Caenorhabditis elegans: one gene and its partners. The protein of the gene in region 1 purifies or fractionates together with the protein of each later gene. This does not show direct contact. Each region holds a gene or a part of one and is shown on either strand. Other genes may lie near its edges.

Region 1 (6,076 bases):
TTTCTTTACGGGAAAAAACAAAATGGCAGTTTTTAACTCAGAAATTTTTCGGCAACTTTTTTGTCGACCAATTCGGCAAACTGCCGGTTTGCCGATTTGCCATTTGCCGAACATCAATTTGCCGGAAGTGTTTAGGGGGATTTTTTTATAATACGGAAACACTTAAAACTGTGCTTTTTTGAAATTTTTTTCCCGTTTTCTTTAGATATTTCATATAATTTTTTTACTTTTTAAAATAAATGTAGGAACATTCATAGGACGCGTACAATTTTGCCGATTAAAATTTAAATTCTGAAATTTCCAAAAAAAAGTGTGTAAAACCACAATTTGCCAAAAATTTTCAGCGATTGCCGTTTTTCCGGCAAATTCGGCCAATTTCCGGTTTGCCGATTTACCAGAAATTTTCAATTCCGGCAAGTTCACCAGTTTGCCGTTTTTCCGGCACATTGCCGGTTTGCCAATTTGTCGGAAATTTTCAGTTCCGGAAAATTGCCTATTTGCCGGAAATGTTCAATTCAGGCTATTTGGCGGTTTGCCGATTTGCCGGAAATATTCAATTCCGGTAACTTGCCGATTTGCCGGAAAAATCGTTTGCCGCCCACCCCTGATATAAAGTTTGAACAATTTTTTAATGTGGGGAAAAATTTCCTGCAAATTTGGCAAAATTATCAGAAAAAAAATTTCCAGTAAAAACGTTTTTTTAGAGAGAAAAGTACTAAAACTCCTTAAATTGTTGCCATAATCGTAAAACGTGATAAGCACATTTTTCTGATTCTCTTAAAAATAAATTCAGAATGGCTACATTTTCTGTAGGATTTTTCATTTAAAAAAAGCCAAAAAAAAAGTGAGCTCAACAACGTTTTTCTGTGAGTAAAAAAGCTGTCATTTTGCTTTTTCTTTCTCGTAAAGCAAGACAAAAAAAAATAAAACTAAAGATTAGTATCCGAGAGTTCTTTGTTTTGTTTTCTTGGTAGTTTTTTCCCTAGTTTTCTGCCATCACTCACTCATAGTTTAAAACGTATGTATCTCTAATCACTATATCATCTCCTATTTCTCACTAAGCCCCCCCCCAGCAGCAGTAATCTTCATGCTCTCTCCTCAAAGGGTGGTAGTGATGGTGGTGTCAACGGAGACAAAAAGAGATACATCACTACACAATTATTTTTTTGTTTATTTGAACGTTATAGGTGTAAAGCGACGACGAGCGAGAAGAAGAAGAAGAAGAACAGAGTGAGAAGTGAACGAAAAAGTGTCGTGATTGTTATGGTGGTAACGGCGGGGAAGTAAATGTGTTTTATGCGGTGTCTGGCAACGAAGTTAGGGCTCTCTTGAGCATCTTCTTTTTTTTGACTTTTGTTTTTTTGCTGGTTTTTTATTTGTCATTTCTACTATTTTTGCAACGCAACTGTAACAAAAATACCTTGAAAAAGTGATTTTTTTCGAATTTCCTCCAAAATAGGGCGCCAAATACGGCTTCTTTATGGTAACTTTAGGAGTCCGTCAAAAAAAAAATTGCACCTTTTGTATTAAAAGAATATATAATTTTTTCAATTTGAACATAGTTTCTACAATTTTTATATATTTTAAAAAAATATAATTTCTGCAATTCTGAAATTATTTCAGCAATTTTTATATTTACAAAAAAATAATTTCTACAGTTTTAAGAAAATTTATTATTTCTGCAACTTTTTTAAAAATAAAATTCCTGTCAGTAAATTTAATTTTTTATCAGTGGGGAAATGGTCAAATTTCATAGTGAAACTTTAAAAAAAATTGTTAACTGTTTTTATTTCAAAAAAAAAAGAAAGATATTTCTATGTTTTTAGCTTGAAATCTACCTATAATTATTCTACAAAAATGTTTTTTTTTCTCAAAAAGTACAAAAAATCCAGGAAAAATTTTTTTTGGTCATGTTTGTTTGGAATTTTTTTTCAAATTTTCTCAAGTAAATAATTTAAAAATTCTCCTTTTCTATAGAAATATAATTTCTATTTTTCAAACTGTAATCTGTTCTTTTTGGTATTTTTTGGCATTAAAACTAAAATTTTTATAAAAATTTCAAAGATTTTAGTAAATATAAATTCTCATTAACGCTAGAAGCTTTTTCACAGATTTTCTTTCGCTTCAACAAAATTCTTGAGCATCATAAAACAATGTCTACGACTTCATGCTTTTGAAGCTTTATCTTTTGAGATGAAGTACTACTTATGCTCTCTTCAACAGAAAAAATTTCAAAAAAAAAAGAGAAGCGCTTGTGGAAATAGTTGAATTTTTAGGTTAGAGGAAGATCGACAAGCGGATAAAACAAAAACTCAAGGGACTAGTTTTTCGTAGATTTCTCAACGGAAAACCTAAAGTTTATTATTTTTAAAAGAGATATTTAATTTAAGATTAGAGATTTTTTTGGGCGAAAAGGTTTGAGAAAATGAAAAACAACTTGTGATTTCTAATAAAATGACGGTGAGAAAAAGAAGATGTCGAATACAAAAATAAACAACCATCTATGATCATTTAGTAATCGGAACGTCGAATCAAAAACTAGAATTGTGACTTTTTTAAAAAGAAGTTTTTAAAAAATTCGATTTGAAAATGTTTTTTTCGTCGCATTTTTTCACTACCATTGAGCCCCGCAAAATTGCTCAAAAAGTGGATTTTTGCATATTTCCAATTACTTTTCAATCTTAAAAAAATTTTGTTTTAAAAATCTAAAAACTTTTCAGAAGAAACTTCCATAAAGATGCCAATTTTTTCGAAAAAAAAATATTGGATTTTCTTTTCAATCTGAAATTTGTTTTCACCCAACTTAAAAAATTCCCGATTTTTTCTCAAAAAAATAATAAAAATTTCATAAAAAGCTTCCTCGTGTCTCGTTTCGTGTCTGGATAATAATCCAGACACGAAATTTGGCGCCAAATATGGTAACCGGTCTCGACACGACAAATAGTTGTTAGTTGCAAAAAGGTGTGCGCCTTTAAAGAGTACTGTAATTTCCAATTCTATTTTAAAAATTTTTACTCACATTTTCTAAAACTTATATGTTTCAAAAGAAAAACTATGAAAAATTGATTAAAAACTCCGTAGCGCGGAAAGTTTGAAATTACAGTACTCTTTAAAGGCGCACACCTATTTACATTAACAAAAAATGTCGCTTCGAGACAAAATTTTGCATCTGGGTAAAATTTTAATGAAAAAAAAGCTCAGCAATTCAAAATTTAAAAAGTCTCGAGAGTACTGAAAAAATGCAATTTTTACAAATTTTCAGATCAATTTTTCTGTTTCTCGCCACGGAAAGTGAAGGATTTGCCATAAAGACAAAACAAAAAAAGCTAAAAAATTTTGTCAAAAAACTTCCGGTAATTACCTGTTGTCTCTTCAGCTCCATCATCATAGCTGTCGATTCGATTCAAATCTGTGTCACTTGATGTATGAGACACACTCGGTGCAGAGGAATACCCGCTACTCATCTGAAATATATTTCTTTTATTAAAAATTATGTGAGAAAATATATGTATAAATATTGGAAAAAGGAATAAGGATGTGTCTGTCTGTGTTGACCGAGATAAAGTATGTCTGTGTGTGTGTAATAAAGCAGGAGACTGAGATAGAGAAAACGGGAGAGCCGGAATTTTTTCCGAGTGCTCTTTTTCTAGTTGTTTTATTTTACATGTTACATATCTCAAATCTCGAATGGCTTCCGGCATTTTAAAAGTTTTTAAAAGTGACTTTTTTAAATGTTAAATGCAAGAAAAATAGCGAAAAAAATCAGGATTGTCCACGCAGAGTACACGAGCACGTAAATCTACAAATCGAGGCAAGTGCGCTCCACGGTCAAATTAACAGAGGCCCCACGAAAAGGGGAGCAGAACGAAAAGGGGATCTGCAAAAAGGGGATCTGCGAAAAGGGGAGATACGAAAAATGGAGATACGAAAAGGGGAGCAACGAAAAGGGGAGCTGGCACTGTGCCAAACGCACAAAACGCAATTTTTCTCACGCAACGCACGTTGATTTTTGAAATTTTCTTCTAGAGGATACGCTTAACAGCACGCGACGCGTAACATCGGAGCATCGTTGTATCGTTTTCTTCGAGAAAAATAGCGTTTGGCACAGTGCCAGATCCCCTTTTCGTTAGCTCCCCTTTTCGTATCTCCCCTTTTCGCAGATCCCCTTTTTGGAGATCCCCTTTTCGTTCTGCTCCCCTTTTCGTGGGGCCTCAATTAACACACTCCGCCTCCAAAAAGTTGGTTAGGTATATACAAGGTAAAAGTTTAAAATTTTTAAAAAATCAATTTCGGCTTAAAAATGATTTGAAAAAAACAACGGAATACATTGCAAAAAAGACGAAAAAAATAAAAGGCAGGTTTTTTTGTAATGTATTCCGTTGTTTTTTTCAAATCATTTTTAAGCCGAAATTGATTTTTTAAAAATTTTAAACATGATCTCGACGTAAAAATCATTGAAAATAACCGAAAACAGCAAAAAAAAAAAACAAAAAACCGGAAAATTAATTGAAAACGTTTGAATGTACGATTTTTTCACCAAAAACCTAACGAGACCTAACGTTTTGAGGCGGAGCCCGCGTGCCCATGGAGCGCACTTGTGCTTCGATTTCAAAAGGCGCGTTTTTTCCTATAATTTACATATTACACACATGTGGTAAAAAAGAAAATAATAAATAAATTGGATAAATAAACCACTGTTTAAATTTTCGAGCATAAGCTTAAAATGCATATAATTTATCAATTAAAATTTGGTTTGGAGTGGAGAGAAAAATAATTATATAATTAGTGAAGAATTGAGATAAAACGTAATTAGATTCGATAAAAAGAGAATTTTTGAAAATGTTGTTGAGATCCCAGTTTACAGGTCGGCAGAGGGAGAAGGAAGAGAGAAAAAATCGATATTATACGGAAAGAGATATAATTTATTAATTGTTGCGGATTCCGAGACTTTGCTCCAGCTCGGCTCGTTTTTGTTGGATTTTCTGATACATGTACCTGGAAAATACAGAATTTTGGATATAAAAATGATAAATTATTAGTCATTTGTGAATTTTTTTGATATTTTTTTCGCCAAAAATACGGAGAAATTTAGAAAAATTGTGCAGCCTTAAGGAGTACTGTAACTGCAATTCATCGTTTTGGAATTTTTCCTCGGTTCTTTAAAAAATTTTTTATTTATTTTAAAACTATAAACAAATGTTGACAAATCGCTGAAAATTCCGCAAAAACGAGGAAATTTTCGGCAATTTTAAACATTTTTAGGTTTCTATTGTTAAATTTGAGTTTTTTCTATAAATAAATATATTTTCAATTAGCTTATGAACATACCGTGATACACCTTCATCTGTATCAGTTGTACTGTACGTTGTCGCATAACGATCGGATTCTCCATCACCACTTGATTCTGTTAAAGTCTTCAAGTCAGAATTCTGGCTTACAACCCATTTCTTGATGAATCCACTGGGCTCGTTCGAGAAACGAAGGAAGAAATCACGACGCAGCTTCATCTCGTTTATTTGATCTACCAAGTCGAATATTTTTTGATCAAGTAGTTGAATGTCGTTCGCATTTGTTTGATTGTGAACGAAATTTGCCATTTGTTGTTTGACTGGATCCTCGAGCTCGACATCTGAAGAAAAAATGAGAAAGAGATTTTTACAGGAAAAATTGAAAAACTAAAACATTTTCAAACTTCCGGTCTTAAAAAATCTAGAATTAATTTATAAAGTTCTTACCAATATCATAACAAGCAGAAGTTTTATCTTGACCATCATCAGGCCGCTGAATAATATGATTCAAGACTAAAGGATCAGGCTGTTGCAAGAGTTGATGAAGTCTTTGAGGAATCTCCATAAATCTCATCTTGCTCACACCAAAACATTGCTCCAAGAAAAGATCATTATTGATTGTATCACGATCCTGTGGATCTTGAAGCTTGTGAGTTTTGATGTACTGCCACAGGGCTTCAATAATTCTCGGACGAGTTTCTGCAGCAATTCCGAGAACTTTTGCAAGTCTCGGATGAAGTTTAAACTTCATTGGCTGATAATCGAGTAGAAGAAGGATTGTGCATTTA
Region 2 (6,337 bases), on another chromosome or scaffold:
TCCATCGAAAAATAGTATTGCAGCCATATTAATAGAAGAAACACGGTATATGATAAGCATTTTCTAAATTCCGTAGCGACTGAAACTTTGAAAAATTGCTAACAAATCATCATTTACTATATATAAAGCGCGTATTCCGTTTGTCCATAGTTTGTAGTCTATGTAGTCTTTGTAGTCTGCGAAGTTTTAGCTTCTGGAGGGATAGTGAGTTGGGGTTAGTGTAGGGATATAGTCGGGGTACTGTAGTGGTACAATGGTGGTACGGTAGGAGTACTGTATGATTACGGCAGTTTCAGAAAAATTGGTTTTCAGCTCCAGAAGTCGGGGGCCGCGCCGGAGGTGCGGTCCACGGCTGGTAAATAATATAAAAACAAAACATTATCAAAGTCCCAATAAATAATTTCAGAGGACCACCAGGTATTCCTTCGCCAGCCAATCCTACACCTTCAAATCCGGTAACCGCTGCTCCAATTAGACGGCAACCAACTGTAATACAAACAACATGGGCTCCACAGATACAGCAACCCCAGCAGCAGCTAGAGTCTCCACAGAATAATTGGGATCAACAACAGCAGTCAACAGATGAAGAATGGCGTCCTGATTGGAGAGACAGAGGACCTCCACCACCAGATTTTGATGGTTGGCATCATCATCATCACCATCGTCCACCTTGGATGCGGGGCCCTTGGTGGCGACGCCCGCCACCACCTTGGGGACCGCCTCCACCAGGGCCGCCTCCTCCATTCGGATGGAGAGGACTTTGAGAAATGTATACACATGATATCATTGTTCATAAACCATTGGTCATACACCGATATTCACACCAAGAATTAACAATAAAATGAATAACCAGAGAGATTGAGTTTTAAATTGATGAAAGTGATAAATTAAATTAAAAATGAGATTGAAAATTTGAGATTTGAGAACGGAAAAGAAGCCAACAGAAAACCATGAAAGCAATAAATTATACTGGTGGGAAATTGCACATAAAACCAGTTGATTCGAAGCCGGTATAGATGAACAAATTGCGAAGTGGATTCTTTCCTTCCGAAATTGATTTAATAGCTTCTTGTCCAATTACTCCACCGACACATGCTGCTGTTGGTCCAAAGTTTGGTCCGAACAAACTGAAAAATTACAATTTTGAAAATATTGCAAGTTTTTGCAATGGCAGCAGAACAAGAGTTTCGATTTTTGGACGTAACATTAAAATGGCATTATTGTAATTTCACAAGATTTTTACATACATTCTTAAAGGCGCACGGAGTTCTTTTAGATGGGTCTCAGCGCACAACAAAGTTAATGGTAGCTTTTCTTATCTTTGCGGCGGCTTCATTACATTTTTCAATGAACATATTAGGTCTCCAAATAAGTTCCGGGTCAAAAATCATAACTTTGTTCGCTGCGAATCGATTTTTATGAAACTGTGGGAATTTATGTTATCAACCATGATCTTTCATTTGGCAATAGTCACAAAATTTTTTGGCCGTCCGAAGTGCCCTAACTCGGAGCCAATTTTTTCAGGCATTTTTCAGATCTCGCTTCTTTTCAGGTTTCAATTGAGGTTTGTGTGCGGATTTTGCTTAGTTTAATACACAATGTAAGAAAACAAGAAAAGTTTGGAAAAAAATCCCTCCAAAAAAAAAATTTTTGTCGAAAATTTTTGCTTTTTTATACAAAAATGATGTAACCATGTGTAAACTATTTTTACACATACAAAACATTTCAATTTAGTGCGTCACACTGAAATAATAACAGAAAACACAGCTTTTTCGAATTTTTGGATTATTTCTCGAGATCCAAATATCATACTCAAATGTTTTGTATGTGTAAAAATAGTTTACACATGGTTACATCATTTTTGTATAAAAAAGCAAAAATTTTCGACAAAAATTTTTTTTTTGGAGGGATTTTTTTCCAAACTTTTCTTGTTTTCTTACATTGTGTATTAAACTAAGCAAAATCCGCACACAAACCTCAATTGAAACCTGAAAAGAAGCGAGATCTGAAAAATGCCTGAAAAAATTGGCTCCGAGTTAGGGCACTTCGGACGGCCAAAAAAAATTTGTGACTATTTGCAAATGAAAGATCATGGTTGATAACATAAATTCCCACAGTTTCATAAAAATCGATTCGCAGCGAACAAAGTTATGATTTTTGACCCGGAACTTATTTGGAGACCTAATATTTAGTAAATTTTTTTTTGCTTTAAATTTCATGAAAAACAGTTGATTTGTGCGTTAAAAACAAAATGACAAAATTCGTTAAAAATGAAGTAGTTTCATTGAAAAGTGCGAGAAAAAAATTGGAAGCAGACGCGAAAATTTGAAAAAAAAAACTACCATAAACCTTTTTTGCATATTTTTTGTTTTTTGATCAGAGCCCTGATCGAGACACATGAATAAGTCCGTGCGTCTTTAAGACGGAATGCTACCGTTTTTTGAAATTACGATACATTTTTAACTTGTTTTTTTAAATAATTAAAAAGATAATACATTCTATGTTTTTTATTGATTCATTTTATAATTTTCGTGCGAATAATACTCACTGATCAAATCGATCGGGTTGAACTGGTTGCATATCGATGGTATGATTTCCAGCGGCCACCTCCTCGTTCCAGATTGGAATTAATTTCTCAATATCGTTTTCAGTGACTCCGGTAAGTTTATTTTCGCTGGAAGCGCGGAGCATACTTTTCACGAGGAAATATGATGTTGGAACGATCCGTTTGCACTTTCTCACAATTTTCTTCGCCGTGAAATCAGAGTTGAGCGTTTCGACAAATGATGGATATGAAAACGTTTCAAGCACGAATTCTTCATCTACCGTAACCACTGTGCTCGTCTTTCCGGTTTCCGATTCTTCTTCATTCAAGCAATCCGGGCTTTTAGCTTTTCTTTAAAAGAAATATTGGGATGAGACTTTTAAAACGATTTAACTTACACTAAATAAGCATGGCCATCGAAATCGAAAAATGCGTAGCCAATCCATCCGTAGATTGCTCCAGAAATAAATCTGATGTGGTGTTTACGGCAGATATTGTTCACTTTTGCAGTACGTTCGTAACTCTCGTCGAGAACAACAACCAACGTGAATTTAGTCAAATACTCTTCGATTTCCGAATCATTTTTCGATAGAACATCTTCCTCGACGATGAAAAGTTTCACATTGCGGTTCAAATTATAAAGAAAATTGTATGATGCCGCCCATTTCTGAAAACAACGTTCATAAGATATGTATAATTCGAATTAATTACAAACCGTCATCTTTGAATTATCAACCGAAGCGTCGTAGAGAAAATTCATACCAATTTCTTCTGTATCAACAAGCCGATGATCAACTAAATGCATCTCGTCAACACCAGCGAGTGACAGAGTTTTTGCCACTTCCGCACCAAGCTGTTTTCCACCAATAATCAAAACTTTAGAGTTTCGGATTCTGAAAACGAAACAATAGTATTTTATTCGAAAAAATTTAAACTTACTTATTTTGAGCTTCCATTCCCCATAAACGAATTTGTCGATCGTAAATCGCCTGTTCAGCTTTGCTGACCTCCATATTTTCTTTTGCTTCGGACATTCTGCAAATTATGGCAATCACAAAAAATATGAAAACATTTAGCAAAAATGGTTAATATGAACGGCAAGGTGAACCGAATAAAATCGAGAAGAAGTAAAATAACGATATTTAAATAAATACACAATTCATTAGACCAGAAATTAAACAACGAGAATGAAACGGGGTGAGTTTTAGGGTGAAGAAAAACTAGGCACATGGATCCTACTGGCACAGTAATATAGAAAATTAAATCTGCGAAGTTGGAACGTTAAGTCATTAATAAAAGAAAAATGTGAGCAGGTGATCATAGTTTGCAAACAATGGCAAACAACTTTGCCGGGCTTTACAATTAGAAATAATCCAGAAAAATCATGTTACAGTATACATCCTAAAGATCAGAGCATTACGCTTGACGACAATAAATAAGATTAAGTGAACAATAAAAAAGAATAAGAACCTAGTAAAGAAAATTTAAGATACCCGAAGTGGAGTGGTTAATTTGCATTCTGCCAGGCATATGTTGGGCGATGATAAACAGAAGTACTGGCAGCTGAAACCCGGTATGACGGGGATGTGATATTCGGTGAACGAAGTTGTTGTTCGCCTAAGTAACTTGGAAAACTTTTAGAGACATTTTCTTAGATTAAATAAACTCACTATTACTGTAGGTACTTGATGATCGTGAAGGTGGAACTCCATTCAAAGCATCTGAGCCGTATCCATATGAAGAAGTCATAGCGGACGTAGATCCAGATGGTTTTTGACCTGATTCCGGACTTGCTGTTCCTGGTGAATTGATGCAATCTCGTTTTGGTTGATATCTGCCGGGGCGGCCCCATGTGCAGATATATCCCTCTTGACAAGCAGTCACAACACAATCTTCTCGGAATTCAAGAACTGTCAGACGATCATGCGATACTTTTTTGCACATTAACGGTTCTGAAAAATATTTCACAAGTGCTTTCTCGTTCATTTTGTCTTTTTTTTCGTGATAGAAAAATGATTCAAAAATTTCGCGATTTTCCGGATCTGACTAGTGAATCGTATTTTAATTTTAAGTATAAGCTTACCGATCATAGGAACATCTCGAATCCCTGGACAAAATTTAGAACCCAACATCCGCGTTTCGTTACAGCAGCTTATTTGAGAAATTAGCCCGGGGTTTTGTTTCTTGGAACTGAAAATTAACATATTATTATAAATTCTGAATAAATCGACATACCTTTCAGAATTTACTGATGCACCATTCATCAATGTGCCAATTTTGTGGCCACCAACCGGATTTGATGTAGCACTGGAGCTTCCAGAAGTAAACTTCGAAAATCCTAGACGTTTTGTAAATTTCTTCTTTTTTTGTTTTTCTGGGCGAGGAGTTGTGTGATTATTAGTTATAGACTGTGAATCAGAAGATGCATTAACACCAGCACCACCAGGAGAGACTTCCTGAAGATCTTCAAGTCTTCCAACTAGAGAATTCGTCTGTACTTCGAGGGTAGTCATTGGGGCAATTATTGTTGAATTTCGATGACGTCGAATGTTTCCTTGGTTCAACATATCTTCTGTTATATCCCACAGGCATAGAAATGTGTCGTGTCCAACACTTCCTATTCGATAACGGACACTGTTTCCAGCTGGAGCTCCGTTGATAGTGTTAAACGAAGCAAGTGAACAACGAGAGAATGTTGAAGTTGCATTCATCACTCCAGAATTCAAATCTGCACTAGTAGATGGTACTGGTCCCGAACGTATTGAGAAATCCTTTGCAACGTCGTCAAACGTAGATGTCATCGCAATACCATTATTTTCCAGATCTTCTTCGGTTGTGCATAAATAAGGATCAAACTTGACCTGACTAACCCAACTTTTGTGAGCTTGTCCTCTGCAAACTACTCGTTTCTCAGCTACACTATAAACTGTTAGAAGATCATCTTCGCCGCCAGTGGCAATCAATTTTGCATCAGGGCTCCATGAGAGCGTAAGCAATCCACCTTAAATTTCATGAATATTTGATTTTTTTCGAAGATAATGAACCAACCGAAATATGATTTCATAACTGCCAGCAATTCTTGTGCATGATAATTGAAAATCCTGAGGAACCCATCATGTGACACCGTGGCCATCATTTTCCCATCTGATCCAGAGAAACTGAACTGGTGAATTGAACCTTCTCCAATTTGCCACCTGGTAACTGGATTCCGCTGAACTTTGCCTTTCCACGTGTGAATCGCGAACTTGTCACCCTGCAAAATCAATATAAATATATGCTTCCAATTTTAGAAACAAAAAGAAACCTCTTTATGAATAGTCCACGGCGGAGGCTGTGAGCTTCCATTATTGTTGCTACTCGCAGCAGAAATTCTTTGGTCATATACATAAAGATTGCCCGACACATATGACGCCAAGAAAATGTTTGAATCGCCTGAATAAAATATTATTGAAAACGAGTTTGTTTCTATTACTTACCAGGTAGCCAGCGGATACATGTGACGGAAGTTTTTTCGATGTATCTATCTTCATTGTACAGTCTGCTGAACGGTGATGATGATGATTTTTCTAGTGGGTCGATGATTTGTAATTGACCGAGAGTGAACCCTATTAGCAGCCTGAAAAGTATTAAATAATTTTGGAAACAATAATTTTGTCAATCGGTCATTATAGTATGTAAGGAAATGTATAAAATTAGCTCCAACGTTTGATAAACTTACTGGCATGATCCATTTTTAGCCGATTCCTGGTTAAAAGCATGATAAGTCGGTGAAGTACCTTTATAAACTCTCTT
Region 3 (4,825 bases), on another chromosome or scaffold:
TGATCGATCTGAATATAAACATTTTTAACGGATTTTATTGTAATTCAATTTTTAAATGAAAAACTTCAATGTTTTCATTCTAAAAAAATAATTTAATGAGCTTGAACTTACTGTAAACGTAAACTGCGTGCATCCGTTCACAACTGGCCACCATGTTCCATTTCCTCTTGTCCTCCCGTCAAAAATTCCAATAAAAACTTCACGAAGATTTCTCTTCCAACCAAGATCATATGGATACGTCCATTCACCCAGACTCTTGATCCATTCAATTTCTTCTTCATCGTCACCTTCATGGACTTTACGCATGTTCAGAGACTTTCCATCTGAAAACACAGTAGGTATTTTTAAAAAAATTGTCAGAAGCAGCTCACGAATATAGTCTTCAATTCCATTTCTGTTTCGAATCACATATCGTAGTTGAGTTATGAATAGAAAAGTGAGAGCCAGAGCAACAGCAATGGCCATTGCGATTGCAAATACGAGAGCAATGAAGGAAATTGGTGTAAGAAGGATTATAGGCTCCGTTCCATCGCCATATTTCTGATACCATCCAGCAAAGATTGCGTGATAGAGTGCTGAACCATCAATGATAGTCGAGTGAATACATCCAACAACTGAGAAGAACAGGAAACGAAGGAAATATTGATGGTTTCGGTGACCGACACAATTGTTGATCCAAGCTGAAATATAATATAATTTGTAGATTTTTGCAAAATCATAAAAATTTAAAAAATTGTATTATTTTATTCCAGCTATATTCGGTAAATATATTGAGAATCTTTACTGTCTGTTCGAGCAAAAAACCCGACGATACTCTATCTATTATTTATTGAAGAAGCTCGGCCTAATCTAGAAACTTACGACAATGATGATCCATTTTCATACAACAACGATCACATTTTGAGCAATGGTGAGATCTTGGAACTTTGAATCCGTTGCACGGAACACAAAATTGAAGTTTCTTCTCGTCGGCTGCATTCTCTGGTCTCCAGCCACGTGGCACATATCCTGGACCGAAGAATGAAGCGTTGAAGAGATTTCCTATTGTTAAATAATTCCACAATAAAAATGTTAGTGTATTGAAAAGTCCCATGTATGAAGTAACAGGCATCCACTGAAGAGCAAAAAATGTTGTTACTGCTCCAATCTGAATCAAATATTATTTTATAATGATCAAAATTATATAAAAAATACCATGGTTATTGTGGAGAATGCAAAAATGGTTCCAAAATGGAACATTCGTCTAAATACAGGCTTATCTCCAATTTCTGCAATTGGAGCAGGCCAATCCGGAGTCTCCACCACCTCACCCGTCATCTGAATTGATTAAATTTCAATAATAAAATATTTAAAATTAAATCAAATTTCGAACATAATTGTGGCGACCTGGGTGAATCCACATAACTGACAACGATATTCTTCCATCGAAAATCGACTTCATACTTGATCCAATAAGAAATTATTGACGCTCAGTTTATTATTTTATCGAATTTTTAAAATGTGGACAAAAAGATCACGAGAAAGGAAAGTAGTAGAACGATAAATATAAAAATTGGTGATTGTGTAAAATATTCCGAGTTATTAATGTGATAGAACAACAGAAGGATCAGAGATTATAGCAGATATCAAGAATGTTCAAAAAGTGATTTATAGTTTAAAAAAAAAGTGCTCAGGCATTTCGCTTCGCCATGTAGGCTTCGAGCTCCGCGTCGAGTTCAGCTTCGGTCTTCTTTGGTTTTGCATCACGAGCTCCACCACGGCCTCCCTTGCGGAATCCACCTCGACCAGCTCCGCCTCTCTTGATGTCACCGGCGTGCACTCCGTCGCGGAGGAAATCTTCTGGTTCTGAAAATAAAGATTATTCTGGTGAACACAATTTAATCATTAAAACGTACTGCCATTGTTTCTGCGAGGACCCGATTGGAATCCACGAGATGATCTTCCCGGTGAACTACGAGATCTGTTTCCAAAATCGACTCTCCCAGCCATGTTGCTCGAATCAATGACGGCGAATTTCATGATCTGAAATATTCATGTTCCATTTTGTGTCACCTGAGATCAGGATTTGGGTAACGGAGAAATCTTGAATAACCAAGTCTCGAGCCAATCAATTAATGCGTGTCGACAGCAACGGCTTTCCCCTCACAATCCATCTCACGACACGGGTCAAAACTAATTTCAACGAGCTTCATCGAATGAACGGCCACACTCAACAAAAAAACCTCAACACAGGTTTATTAAGTCTCTTTTTGAAAGGAAACAACGAGATTCTGATTGCCTGGGTCTGTTGTTGCGTACAGTAGATTTCTGTGAACTGGTAGAAGAAGAACAGAACGCATTCAGGAGCGTCCGCTGGAGCACACACTTTAATCAGGATTCAGCCCCAATTGATTGTTTCAAAGTCTTTGTTATCGATTTGTTGTATCCCAATGCAATACCTTTCCATCTAGAGCGACACCGCTAAACTTCTGAACAAGTCTCTCAGCATCACGTTTGGTGAGCGAAATGTCACCAGTACCCAATGAATCACCTGAAAATAAATTGGTTCAATACGGTTGCATATATTATCAAGCTTACCATGCTCGTTGAAGTTGACCGAAACTGAGCTGAGTCTGTAGTCGCCGAAGAGTTCCTCCAAATCGCTTGAAATGACTGTTGGGGCAAGATTAGAGATATTTACTCTAATAACCTTGCTATCTATAATCAAAATGAGTAGAAAATAAGATACATATTGATTTGAAACCCACCATTTCCTCTGCTTGAAATTCCATGATTCTGAACCGCGTCCAAGTCTTTCCATCCACCACTTCCGCCGGAGCGGCGTGGAAGTCCAGTGGGTCTCGTATTTCCTCGTCGAGCTCCTCCGAAGGATTTCTTTTGAATGCTTCCAGTTGTCTTTCTGGTTTTAGAGATGATGTCCTCAAGAGACAAATCGACATTGGTAGCCTTAACCATTTTTCGAAGATTGTTGGAGTTGAAACTGAAACGTTTTTCAATTGAATTAGAACGACAACATTTGGTTTAAGATCAAAAGTAAGTTCACGGGAAAAAACAAAGAAAAAAATTATAATTATTCGGAAGAGCAAATGTAGCGGAGACCAAAGTGGAATGAGAAATAATGAATGAAAAGATAGGAATGAGCAAATGAGGAAACTGAGAAAAACGCTGCGTTTGGTGACCGCGACGCGTACGCAACGCGGTCAACAGCATACGTTACCTCTTATTTGAATAAAATTCTCAACACATTTTTTTGCAGAGAATTAGGGAAACAAACAAATTGACAGCTTAAAATCAGTGTAGAGAAATTTTAACGTTTTTCAAATAATAATTCAAAGTAAGAAAAAGGATGGAAACAAGTATTTAAAACTAACGACACAACGAGTGGCTCATACAAAAAGTTTATTACTTCTTAAGGCCAATTGGCAACGAAAAATCATTCTTGAAAATTATTTTGAGACCAGTGATGTATATCTAGCAAAGTAACTAAATAGGATACAGTATTCATCGACGCAGAATTAACCGTATAAAATTCATCGCATCATCTTCTTCTTCTTGATCATCGTTGTCAAACTCTGGAACATGATCCCAATTTTCCTCTGTATCGCCTTCTTGTAATTCGTTTTGAAACGTAATTCCTTCTCGTTGAATTCCGAAAAAGCGTCGTGGTTCACGAGTCATGCTGATATATTCCCATCCAAGGTGTTCATGACATCTGGAGCACTGAATGATAATCCATGCGTACCTGAAAATCTGACTAATTTAATGATAAAGAGGTATTTGAATAAGCTGACTCTGGAAACCATGTGAATTCATATGATGGTGGTGTAGCTCGATCATAGTTTCGTATTTCTGACAGTAAGGTAATTTTGTGAACAAATCCGTGAGCATTAACATGAGTCATTGTTTGATCTGGAAGCCTCATGATATGTTCATTGCGGAAAATTGGAATGCGACATCTAGAACATCTCCCGACAAATACTTTGAAATACTTCAGAGCAGCAACTATACGACCGTTCGCTGAATCTTCTTTCAAGAGACTGTACTCAGTTAGCCGATTAGAGAAAATATGCTTTGCAGCAAAATAGCTGAAGTATGTGAGGCCACGATCTTTAGCTTGTCTCACAGTGTCATCTCCAAGCATTCCTGAAAGTAGTCCCACGCATTCATTCACAGCACTTTCTGTAACATCTCGAATAGCATTGAATGGATATCCATTGATTCGGGTTGCAATTGAACGTTTTTCGTGAGCAGGTAAATGTATTGCATATTTCGGAATAAATGATGGAAGTAACGATGGAAGTTCGACGTCTGGTAGCAATTGTACTTCTGCTTCACCACGCCCTCTGAATTTGAAAGAAATTAGAAGGAAATTATGTTTCGTAAAACTTACAAATTATACTTCAAAACTTTACATCTGTAGACGCCCATCAACTCCATACTCAGAGCGTTAGAATTTGCTTGAACAACTCTAGAAAGTGTAGCAATATATGGGAGTGATGTGCATTCTGGAATATCCAATGGAAACAGTACAACAAATCCATTAGCTCGAGCACTCGATACAAGTCTTTCATAGATTTCTCGTTCATCATCGTGGAATTTCATCGGGAGTTGTTGCCCTGTAAACTAATATGAAATCGGGAGGTTTTTCTTTTTAAATGTAACTCACCAGGAAAACAAACAGCACTGACTCCACAAATCGGAAACCAATTTGTTCCATAATCTGTGAGTCTGGCTTCATTTTCATAATTTTCTCTATTTTCATTGTCTTGAAGAGCATAATCGAATCTGTGAGTCACGTCAACATTCAGTCCTTCCATGGCTTGTG

What was found.
Region 2: the proteins of ttll-4 (region 1) and aos-1 fractionate together in Caenorhabditis elegans (co-fractionation; one large-scale study listed by BioGRID). This does not show direct contact.
Region 3: the proteins of ttll-4 (region 1) and aly-3 fractionate together in Caenorhabditis elegans (co-fractionation; one large-scale study listed by BioGRID). This does not show direct contact.

The regions. Positions count from the first base shown.
Region 1 is NC_003281.10:10,121,571-10,127,646, reverse strand, and holds the start of ttll-4 (Tubulin polyglutamylase ttll-4), read right to left. Parts: upstream 3,465-6,076; coding exon 3,362-3,464; intron 1-3,361. Other genes in the region: ham-3 (SWI/SNF chromatin-remodeling accessory subunit 1), read right to left, coding at 4,926-4,995, 5,329-5,629, 5,736-6,076. UniProt on the Caenorhabditis elegans protein: Monoglutamylase which modifies tubulin, adding a single glutamate on the gamma-carboxyl group of specific glutamate residues of target proteins. Involved in the side-chain initiation step of the polyglutamylation reaction but not in the elongation step.
Region 2 is NC_003283.11:10,126,716-10,133,052, forward strand, and holds aos-1 (SUMO-activating enzyme subunit aos-1), read right to left. Parts: upstream 3,581-6,337; 5' UTR 3,580-3,580; coding exon 3,485-3,579; intron 3,439-3,484; coding exon 3,261-3,438; intron 3,213-3,260; coding exon 2,944-3,212; intron 2,897-2,943; coding exon 2,549-2,896; intron 1,128-2,548; coding exon 965-1,127; 3' UTR 777-964; downstream 1-776. Other genes in the region: C08B6.10 (Proline-rich proteoglycan 2-like), read left to right, coding at 407-764; wdr-20 (WD repeat-containing protein 20 homolog), read right to left, coding at 4,053-4,162, 4,216-4,497, 4,629-4,735, 4,781-5,546, 5,594-5,798, 5,850-5,977, 6,022-6,161, 6,264-6,337. UniProt on the Caenorhabditis elegans protein: The dimeric enzyme acts as an E1 ligase for smo-1. It mediates ATP-dependent activation of smo-1 and formation of a thioester with a conserved cysteine residue on uba-2.
Region 3 is NC_003282.8:12,121,444-12,126,268, reverse strand, and holds aly-3 (Chromatin target of PRMT1 protein C-terminal domain-containing protein), read right to left. Parts: upstream 2,988-4,825; 5' UTR 2,956-2,987; coding exon 2,748-2,955; intron 2,698-2,747; coding exon 2,578-2,697; intron 2,531-2,577; coding exon 2,439-2,530; exon of another isoform or gene 2,023-2,438; coding exon 1,896-2,022; intron 1,846-1,895; coding exon 1,670-1,845; 3' UTR 1,460-1,669; downstream 1-1,459. Other genes in the region: dhhc-6 (Palmitoyltransferase), read right to left, coding at 1-8, 112-323, 372-680, 862-1,147, 1,195-1,317; M18.6 (CULT domain-containing protein), read right to left, coding at 3,502-3,742, 3,792-4,343, 4,391-4,616, 4,667-4,825.